Mus musculus: one gene and its partners. The protein of the gene in region 1 interacts with the protein of each later gene in a biochemical or structural test. Links are inferred from orthologs where the notes say so. Each region holds a gene or a part of one and is shown in the gene's direction. Other genes may lie near its edges.

Region 1 (3,500 bases):
GTAGACCAGGCTGGCCTCGAACTCAGAAATCCACCTGTCTCTGCCTCCCGAGTGCTGGGATTAAAGGTGTGCGCCACCACACCCAGCCTAGGACTTTTTTTAATGTGATAAAATACACAAAATGTAAAAATTGTCATCTTAACCATTTTTCAATATGCAGGTCAGTGCCACTGAGTGTGCTCACATGCAGTTTGTTTTCTTCTAACGCTGAAAGCTCTGCACTAATAAACTCACTATCTCTCATGCTTGCCAGGACTCTTCTTTAATCTTAATAAAATATATATCTATCACCATAATATATAATTAATTATTAATTTATATATTATATAATTAAAAGGTTATTTATAATTATATATTGTATCTAACATGATATAATATGCAATGTTGTAATATATAGATATATTTGTATATAAGTATATAATATTATATACACTTATTTATGGAGCAAGCTGGTTGTGGTGGCTCATATCTGTAATCACAACCCTCGAAGACAAAAGGCAAAAGGATCAAGAGTTCAAGATATTCTAGGCTTTAGTGAGTGAGGACATCCTGTCTCAACTAACACCAACAATAATAATAAGTATGACATATCATAGCACATGGAATGTTTACCTATAGAATGTGCAGGCCCACAAAGCTCATCCCCCATCCCATTAATCCCTGCCTTCCACTGTGCCAGAGCTCAAGGATAGTGGCTTCCTCCAGGCCTCTTTCTCACTGAGAACTGATGGCCTCCATGCTGTGAACCATATGAAGAGCTCTCTGGATGCATTCCACATTGCCCCCACACAGAGTGATGTTGTGTTCAAACAGGCTCCTTTCCAAACAACATGCACCAGTAGCAATTCTTTCCCTGTTACAAGCCTGCTGGGGTCACAGAAGAGCATCCTACGGGAGGTGGCAGTGGCAGTATGTAGACATCTTACACAGTCTGATACCACTTCTTTGCATGTAAAAAGTAAACTTTGTTTTTCCACTTCACTATGATAAGTAGGAGTAAAAGCATGACTGGACCTAGGGCTTACTAGTCATTTAAAGCTATCAGGTTCAGGAAGGTGAACTCTCAGCTTTGCATTTTCAGTGTGGTTTATAGTTTGGGAGGTTGTGATGAGCTCTGTGACTGAGGTCATGTGTTTCATTCTGTAGTGCTCACTAAAAGGAGGAAACAATGATTCATGGATGAATCCTCTTGCCAAACAGTTTTCAAATATGGGATTGCTGGTAAGTTTCATTTTTCTTCATGTATAAACATAATCTCAAATTTCAGGCATAGTAAGTACACATGTACAGTACAAAATTACAGATTTAAATATGGGTTAAACAGTGTTCTTGGCCCTCTGAGCTAAACAGTATTTCTATTTTATTAAGTGATATATACCAACATTAAAAGTGAATTGTCTTTGTATCTTTTCTCTTGGAAAGGTGGAAACAACAAAGACACTTAAATGGACACTTGTTACTAGTGTCTGCACATCATTTTTAAAAATAAAAATAATCAGAATCACTATACTGGGATTCATTATGTAGAGAAAAATGTGTGCTGTGTCTTTACTTTCCTTATCTCTTGGGAACACTGTGAAGACATCTGGTCATGGTTGTCAAAAGACAAATGATTTGACTACACAGTTTAAGATTTGCTCACTGACACGTCATAAGAAGATATTATCACCATTTAGCTACAACTTGTGGAGTTTGACTATGCATACTTAAGAAGCAGTTTATTTCTCCAGGCAGCTGTTGAACTTGTCCTCTGTCCATAGCTGTACTGATGTTGCTTACATGTGTAATTGACATGTGTAATTACATGTGTTAGACACTTAATTAAGCCTTGATGGCCATCAAATTGTGATTGCAAAAATGTTACAGCCTTCACTCCAGTTTCAAGGTCACGGCAGAGGCTCTTGTGGAGTGCCTATGGTCATGAGGCTCTCACATGAGCAGGAGCGCCTCTTCTCTGATGTACAACGTGTATCCTCCCTTAATCCTTACTCACTTGTGTTTGCTTTGTTTTGTTCAGAGTCAAACTGAGGATAACCCAAGCAGCAAAATGGATTTGTCTGTAGGTATGTGTCTCTACAAACAGGAGGGGAACGTGTTCACGGCTCTGCCAGGCCCTTGGCATCTCCTGCCCTGCTTGGGTTGAGGCAGATTGATAGACATGCTTGATGCTAACTGCTTTATTTTATATCAGATTTCATGCACTAAAGCAGTATAGAGGTTGAAAATTCAAATGACTGAAGTTCCAGGAGAATGTGAAGGAATGTTAAATGCTAGGTTTAACTGTGAGGAGGGTATGTCCACCTCAGAAGCCAACCTTATTCTACTACATGAAAAGTGCAAACTTCACTGCACCATCCCTTATTAGCATCCAGATTTTTTTCCCAAGTACTGGGAGCTAGATTCAGATTATTTTAATATGTCTGTGATACTAGTAAACTAGACCATCAGATTGACTCTCTGTACCCCAAGGTTTTCATCTTTGTCATACTTTTCCGTTGTGACCAGAGCAAATGCAGGGGTCAGCCCATCGTCTGTGAGATTTTTCTCAGGAATGCTTTTGCTCACCCCGAGGAACATAAGAGGAATCAAACTAAGAGTAAGAGGGAACAATCTGGATAGCAGTGGTACTGTGTAGTTTGAGCTGCAACCCAGTTGTGTCATCATATAGCAGATTTATAGGGCTAAGGAAAGGGAGGAGGAGGAAGTCTGCATCACACATGCAGATGAAGCTTGAGCAAGTACTGTAGAAATGTTCAACTGTGTTAAAGTCTTAAGCTTTACATTTTTAGGCAACAGGAGTGCCTCTGATCTTTCTATTCCCCATAATTGCTTTAAAACTCTAACAATGTCTCTAACAAGTGCTAACATAACAAAACAGACTGGTCTCTCACTGAGAAGATTTGACTTTATGAACAAGATGTATTCTCACCCAGCACGTCAATTTTAACCTAAATATTGGCTTAATCAATTTGGCTTCAAGTCTCTCAAGTGTTCCATGGTAGACAAGCTACAGCAGATACATATTTAATTTTTGAAAAACGGTTCAGGAACAGAGCAAGCACCCTGAGCCAGTGAGAATTCTTCCTAGGCTCATTCCAAAGAGTAGAGAGGCTTTGTCCCCGGGTCCCTAGAGAACAGACGGGCCAGGCTACACGTGGCTCTTGAGGGGACATTGATTCCTGACATTTTTATTTATGTCCTTTCAGATAAGAAATTTGATGTGGACAAGAGAACAATGAATCTCGGGGATTTTAATGATATCATGAGGAAGGATCGACCTGGGTTCCGTCCACCTAATTCCAAAGACTTGGGAACCACAGACAGTGGGCCTTATTTTGAGAAGGTGAGTTGAATGCTTTGTTTCAAATAGTCGTTTATGAGAGTCACTGTGTTCTTAATTTGTCTGTGGTAGCAGCTAATTCTAGAGAAAGCATAAACTTACAAACTCAGAGTAAAACATGAATATCCCCTATATTAATGTGGTGACAGGAAAGTAACTG
Region 2 (3,500 bases), on another chromosome or scaffold:
CCCTGTGTGTCCTCCCTGGCTGTTTCCCCTGGCTTTGTGGCCCGTCCTCCACCACTTCTCCTCCCTCCCTCCTCCTTCTCTCCTCTCTCACTCCTCCCTCCCTCCTCCTTCTCTCCTCTCTCACTCCTCCCTCCCTCCTCCTTCTCTCCTCTCTCCCTCCTCCCTCCGTCCTCTTTCCCTCCTCCCTCCTTCCTCTTTCCCTCCTCTTTCCCTCCTCCCTCCCTCATACTTCCTCTCCTCCTGGCTCTCTGGTCTAGACCCCTTATATAGACCAGCTCCCAGAGAAGGGAAAGGGAACTACCATTTATTGAACTTCTCCTATGTGCCACACACTAACTGTTCAAGGAGTCTCCTCACAGCAGCTCTGTGAAGTAGGTACTATTGATCTCTCCGTTTAACTTAAGAAAGGTTAAATGGCTTGATAGACTCACACAACTAGTAAATGGCGAAACCAGGATTCAAAAACTTGACTTTAGAAGCCCACTATTTCAAGACTTAGTTCCCTCAGAGAATAAACTTCTTTGTTCTTGATTTCTGGGAGAGTAAGAGTAGAATCCAGTAAAGGTGCCAGGCAGGGCCAGGCAGGTCTTGGGATCTTGGTTGTGTTTGTCTCTCCAGATTGGGAAGAGTGGTAACATCCCAGCAGGGACCACTGTGGACACCAACATCACCCACCCATTTGAGTTCGACTTCTATCTGTGCAGCCATGCAGGCATCCAGGTAGGTGGCATCTCCTGGGGTTTTTATTGGGTTAAGAATTAGTTGGTTATTCCTACTGCATTTAGAATGTTTGTTGTAGTTGAGTATATAAAATGACCATTAGCTAGCCCCAAGTGTACTTGTAGATTGCTTTATAATATTTGATTTTGTGTATTATTCCTCTTATGGGTGGTGGGGTATGGTCATGCAACCTAAACATATTCTTAATTAGAAGTGGGTTTTTTTGTTTGTTTTTTGTTGTTATTGTTTGCTTGTTTTTATTTTTTGTCAGCAGGCATCCACTCTGTCCAATTAGGGCCCACTTACCATCTTTTTTACCTAGGGTACCAGCCGACCATCCCATTATTATGTCCTTTGGGATGACAACCGTTTCACAGCAGATGAACTCCAGATCTTGACATACCAGCTGTGCCACACTTACGTACGATGCACACGTTCTGTCTCTATCCCAGCACCTGCCTACTATGCTCGCTTGGTGGCTTTCCGGGCACGATACCACCTGGTGGACAAGGAACATGACAGGTAAAGGCTAGCTGTTTGCTTTTTCCTTCCATTTTTGTACCAACCCTTTGGACTTTTTGTTGATAGAAGGAAGTGGATGCTATCCAATTTGAGACCCTTGGCTTCTCTACCTAAACATGAGTCGGTGTTTTCTCTTAATTTGGTATCTGAATTGGCACTGTAGGCATGGGTGAGGGATTAGCAGCAGTTCAGTTCACCAGGAAAGACTTTTTTATATGTTTTCTTTTCAGTGGAGAGGGGAGCCACATATCAGGGCAAAGCAATGGGCGAGACCCCCAGGCCCTGGCCAAAGCTGTGCAGGTTCACCAGGATACTCTACGCACCATGTACTTCGCTTGAAGGCAGAACGCTGTTACCTCACTGGATAGAAGAAAGCTTTCCAAGCCCTGGGAGCTGTACCACCCAAATCCAGAGGAAGCAAGGCAGAGGGAGGTGGGGTCGGAAGGAGTATAGGAGGCCTTGTTTCTATCTACAGAGGGGGTATAAGGGTGGGAAGAGGACCAGCAAGACAGACTACCAGCCAGAAATCACTGATAGCAACCTCATTGTCCTCAACCCCTCTCCCCATCTTGTCATATCCGACCCCCTTGGACCAAAAGGGGCATCACTAGTACCCACCATACACACAGTTGTCTCATGTGACTCACAGTGCTAAAGACTCATGCTCAACAGCCTGCTAGGGTCAGCTCTGCAGCCCTGTGGTCAAATGCTGGTATGTTTGGGTTTGCTATTCTAGATGAGAAAGTGGGTGGGAAGAGGGCAGGAATTTTTAGGAGCCTTAATCAGAAAAGGTCTAGATTTGTTTAAGAAAAAGGAAAACAGACTCAGATCAATATTTTAGGATACTAGATGTTTTCATGGGTTCAGAATCCACTTTGTAGGAAGATTTTTAATGCTAATGGTTTGGGTTGCTCCTCCCCAGCTGCCATCCCCTCCCATCATTCCTCTCCACATTCTCTACCCCATGCACCTTTTCCCTGACAGACATCCAGCCCTCGTAACACTTAAGGCACTATGGCACTTAGCTCTGAGGTGACATGACCCTGTCTTCCTTCCGCCTGCTGGTGGGTAACCAGTGCCTTCCCGCAACGGTAATGCTGCAGAACTGCAACCTTTTGTACCTTTCTCTGTGGGGTGGGGTGTGGGTGGGAAAGGAGGGAGGGAGGGAGGGCAGAAATAGCCCAATGCCAGCGAGCCTCCAGCCAGAATGCCAGCTAATTTTCATTTGAAGGAATTGACTTCCATAATCATTGAGCTTTTAAAAAAAGGTCACAACCTCAAGATGGTTAAAATCCATTGACATTTGCACTTTCAGACGTGACAAGTCTCCGAGCTGCTGAGATGACTGGCCCTTGGCCTTTCCCCTTTAGCTTCCTCTTTTCCCTGGCCCCACCACCACCCTGCCAGATCTAGAGTTACTGTCATAGTATTTCTCATTCTTGGCTTTTTTACCCCTGATGGTAAAGTCTCGTTTCAATATTTCTTAACTGGGGTGTCTTACAGCAGAAGATCGTAAGGACTAAAATAAGAAAACAAAAAATCTAAAGGTTATTTTTATACCATAACTTGAGTCTATTGCCAAAATCTGGAAATTCCCTCCCATACCTGATGAGTCTGCATTCCAGAAACATGGAGCCGTAAGAGGGAACTGTGGAACTGACTTGTGTTCTGGCCTAGCTAAGTAGGGGGTGGTTGTCTCCCCAAGGTGGGGCTCAGCCTCTGTCCTTCCTCTGTGCAGACAAAGCCTTGTTCTCGAGACAGCCTCCCTCCAGGGCGCTGTCCTGCCCTCTTCCCTGTAAGTGCATCTTCCCCTTTTCTGGACTGGACTGTCCTTTGATCCCTGACTAACCGAGACTCTAGCACGTCCTCTGGACAGGCTGGGGAATTTTGCTGCTCCCATTTGCTTCTGTTTACACAAATGAAATTTTCCTGTTTCTCACTAGGGCATGTGAGTGGGTGGCATGGGCTTTTCTTTTTCTACCCCTCTCTTGAGGTTCTGGGGTTCAGCTAGCTGTCTTGCAGGACTGGAAAAGAAGTGGGTTCTAGCTTTGTCTTTGCTGACCTTGAAGCAAGGCCCCCTCTTTCCTTGACCATTCTTTTTTCTTCCTGCATTATTGCTTGGGATGGGAAATTTGAACCTCCGTGTACAGGTTCCCCTTCTGAGGAGCCTGAGCTTAGGATTGCCCTACTCTGGCGATGAAGCCATGATATGTTAGCTCTAGCCCAGGCTTAGAGGCCCGCTGGAGAAAGGAAGATCT
Region 3 (3,500 bases), about 7.8 Mb from region 1:
CAAAGCCTGTAAAGTCTAGCTGTAACCTTACCATCTCAGCCAGAGGCTCTTTGGTGAGGCTGCCACCCAGCACTGGTGGTAGTGTTGGCCTGTGCTTCTGACAGAATGAGCCACGAGCCCAGAGAAAAGGAAGCCAGTAGCAGACACTGGGTGCTGACCAATTCCTGCCCATCTTCTATCCTTGGTATCTCTGTCCCCAGACACACCCCACCTGTTGGTGGTGTGATTGCAGGTGCACAACCATGAATTCTGTAAATGTAGCACAGGGGAGGTGACTGCTGGCCCACTAGGCTGAAGCTAAATGTCCCCACCTTGGCTGCTGATCGATGTTTTTGCTCTGAACGTAGCCGGTCTTCTCAGCTACCTGAGTCTGGTTTGGCAGTCCAAGCGCCGGATTTGCTTGACTGCCACCTGTTCTCTTTTCTTCTGGGTCTGTGTTTCCGAGACTACACCCACCAGAGCAGCAGGGAAGGAAAACCCACAGGCAGCTGATGGTGTTCTTTATTTTGCTTAGTTGGCCTGCATGGCACAAAAGAACCATACTGTGTCACTACAGAAAGGCAGCAAGCATGCTTTTTTTTTGGGGGGGGGGGGTTCGAGATAGGGTCTCTATATAGCCCTGGCTGTCCTAGAACTCACTCTGTAGACCAGGCTGGCCTCAAACTCAGAGATCTGCCTGCCTCTGCCTCCCAAGTGCTGGGATTAAAGGCGTGCGCCACTACTAACCTAGCACAAGCATGCATATTATATCTGCCATTTTATCCCATCGATGACCCCTGTGCCTTCCATGGTTGTATGGTGTACTCACCCCATTCATGGGCTGATATGCCTTTGACTTTATCTGAGATTAGATTCTAGCATACCATGGTACCTAACCCTAGGCCCCAGAGGGCGAGGCAGTAGAATTCTGAGTTTGAGGCCAGCCTGGGCTACCGAAAGCAAATAAAAAACTTAATTCTTTTTTGTTGTTGTTGTTTTCTTTTGTTTAGACAGAATCTTATGTGTCCCAGGCTAGCCTCAAACTCAATGTGTAGTCATGAATGACCTTAACTGTAGACCCTCCTGCCTCTCCCAAATGCTGAGATTGCGTGCATGCTAGGCAAGATCTTTGACCTTGTTAAACTGTACTCGGAGACCCTGGTTGATATGACCTCCTTACCATGTATTATACATCTTAGCAAAGTGGCCTTTTCCCTCAGGTCCTTCACAGAGCAACTGAGGAAGATCTCGAGAGATGCTGGGATGCCGATCCAGGGTCAGCCCTGCTTCTGTAAATACGCACAGGGTGCAGACAGTGTGGAGCCCATGTTCCGACACCTGAAGAACACATACGCTGGCCTCCAGCTGGTGGTGGTCATCCTGCCTGGCAAAACTCCTGTGTATGGTAGGTGTTGGCCCCCTGCAGGCTTCAGGGGGCGAGGAGGTCCCAGTGGCCCTGAGTGGCCTGGAACAGTCCCCTTTGTGCTGACTGAGCTGAATGGTTGGTTCTTGCCCATTCCTGAACCTGAGAAGGGGAGAGGGAGGTGGGTTACTCTCATATACGTTTGGTCCATCATCATCTTCTTGAGTGAGGCCACAACCCCATGTATCAAGCAACTCCCAGTGACCCATAGTTGCAGATAGTCTCTGCAATTGTGCAATGTTTGGAATTTTAGGAACTTTTCAGAGGGTGTATACATGACTGGTCCCCTCTGTGTTGACACCAACACCCCCAAGAGAGGGTGTTAGTAGTTGTTAGTCATTCAGGGAGGTTGGTTGCATTTTATTAGTAATCATGGACAATAAAGAAAAGGAAATAAATGGGATTCAGGGATCTCTCCCACCTCTATCTTCCTTTTTCTCCTATCTACTAATGAGTGAAACTAGTAAATAAAAGGGCAGGAAAAAGAGGAACCCACAAAGTAGCAAAGGCCAGCTACAGCCCATAATTTGACTTGACGGTTGGTTTCATGTTCATGCTGTGGCATGAGTGTTGGCAGGTGGAAGAGAGTGCCCTGATAGGTCAGTGTTCCCCGAGGAGGCCCCACTGGCTCTTGGTTCCCTAGGATTCAGTCAGTCTGGTCTCTGCCACCACCCCACATAAGGGTGGGTTTCTTAATGTTAGAGGGTAGTTGTTCCTTCATCAGTGGAGAGCCCAGTGATGCTGAAGAAGAGGGAATGGATTAGGTACAGCCTTCTGTTCAGGGGGGGTAGTAGGGGGGGTGGGCAGGGAGGCTATATGGACAGATCTGCAAGGTGAGAGCTGTCTGCCCCATAGGCTTTTTCAGCAAAAGGGTGTTGGTGTGAGATCTATACAGGGGTCAAGGAAAGCAACTGGGCTTCCTGATGGTTGTGATAGTAGGGGTCTGTCCTATCTAACCACAGGCAGACCACAGACCCATGGCATGGTCTTTCCCTCTCAGTTCAAAGAAGGCTTTCTCATGGCAGTGGTGTTTAGGTGAGATGAGTGTTGTCCCTAGAGTCCGCGTTTCTAGAACAGTCCTAAGAGCAGTGACCAGCTGCTTCAGGAATGAATGTGGGGATGGACAAGTGTGGATCCCCACGGCACTTTGATGTTCTGTGTTTGCCAAGGGTTTTGACAAGACCGGTGGTTTTATTTTTAGCCACGTAGGCATTTGCTTAACATGAGGTGTCATTTCTGCTGAGGAATGCTGAAGCCTTAGTTATAGCTGGCTTCTGCTTGCCACGCCCTGGCCCAGGATCACAAATGGCTGGTATGAGATGTGCTTCCCGGTTCCTGTCCTGAGGGAGACAGGCACAGGTGCCTGGCAGTGCTAAAGCAGGATTCCGCCAGGAGCCCTGCCCCTCTGTCTGCCAGCATCTTCCCTAGGCTGACTGCAGGCGCCTAACGCAGCTGCTGTGGCTGAACACTGCACCGGTGCAGTCCAAAAGGGTGCAGAAGACAGCTGCTTCTATTTGGGAGTTGTGACATGTGCGCCTCTGCTCCACAGCGGAAGTCAAGCGTGTGGGAGACACAGTGCTGGGGATGGCCACACAGTGCGTCCAGATGAAGAACGTGCAGAGGACCACGCCACAGACCCTATCCAATCTCTGCTTAAAGATCAATGTCAAACTGGGAGGCGTCAACAACATCCTGCTGCCACAGGGCAGGTGAGGTGGCCACACCCCATGCATACACCAGCTGGCTTAAATGGTCAGTGGAGAGGTGCTCACTGGTAGTTTATGTGGGCATAAGTCCTGGGCTCCTCAGAACCAGGGGCATCAGGGATGAGTGACTGTTAGGGCTGGAGTCCCTAACAGTTGAAGGCTGGTATGGGGCTGTTGTCACCCTGCTCCTTGTGCCAGGGCCAGCAGTCTCCACTGAAGAGTTGGGAGAGTGAGTGGCCTCGGGACAGGTCAGGAATGGGCTTCCACAGACTTGGCAGCGGGTCCCTGGAGCTTTACTGCAGTGTAGACTCCAGTGTTTTCTACTCTGCTTACTTGGGGCTGGGAGCTTACTGCTAGGATCAAAGCTAAAGCACTTGGGGCTGGAAAGTCCT

Evidence for each region. The genes of interacting proteins can lie anywhere in the genome.
Region 2: the proteins of Tnrc6b (region 1) and Ago1 form a complex in vitro, tested with the Homo sapiens proteins (2 studies listed by BioGRID and IntAct). The link is inferred for Mus musculus from reciprocal best matches to the Homo sapiens genes TNRC6B and AGO1.
Region 3: the proteins of Tnrc6b (region 1) and Ago2 form a complex in vitro, tested with the Homo sapiens proteins (3 studies listed by BioGRID and IntAct, with this or other methods). The link is inferred for Mus musculus from reciprocal best matches to the Homo sapiens genes TNRC6B and AGO2.

What each region holds. Positions count from the first base shown.
Region 1 is NC_000081.6:80,885,813-80,889,312, forward strand, and holds part of Tnrc6b (trinucleotide repeat-containing gene 6B protein), read left to right. Parts: intron 1-1,146; coding exon 1,147-1,221; intron 1,222-2,017; coding exon 2,018-2,063; intron 2,064-3,206; coding exon 3,207-3,343; intron 3,344-3,500.
Region 2 is NC_000070.6:126,437,584-126,441,083, reverse strand, and holds part of Ago1 (protein argonaute-1), read left to right. Parts: intron 1-618; coding exon 619-720; intron 721-1,042; coding exon 1,043-1,242; intron 1,243-1,472; coding exon 1,473-1,581; coding exon of another isoform or gene 1,582-1,695; 3' UTR 1,696-3,500.
Region 3 is NC_000081.6:73,118,948-73,122,447, reverse strand, and holds part of Ago2 (protein argonaute-2), read left to right. Parts: intron 1-1,199; coding exon 1,200-1,384; intron 1,385-2,951; coding exon 2,952-3,111; intron 3,112-3,500.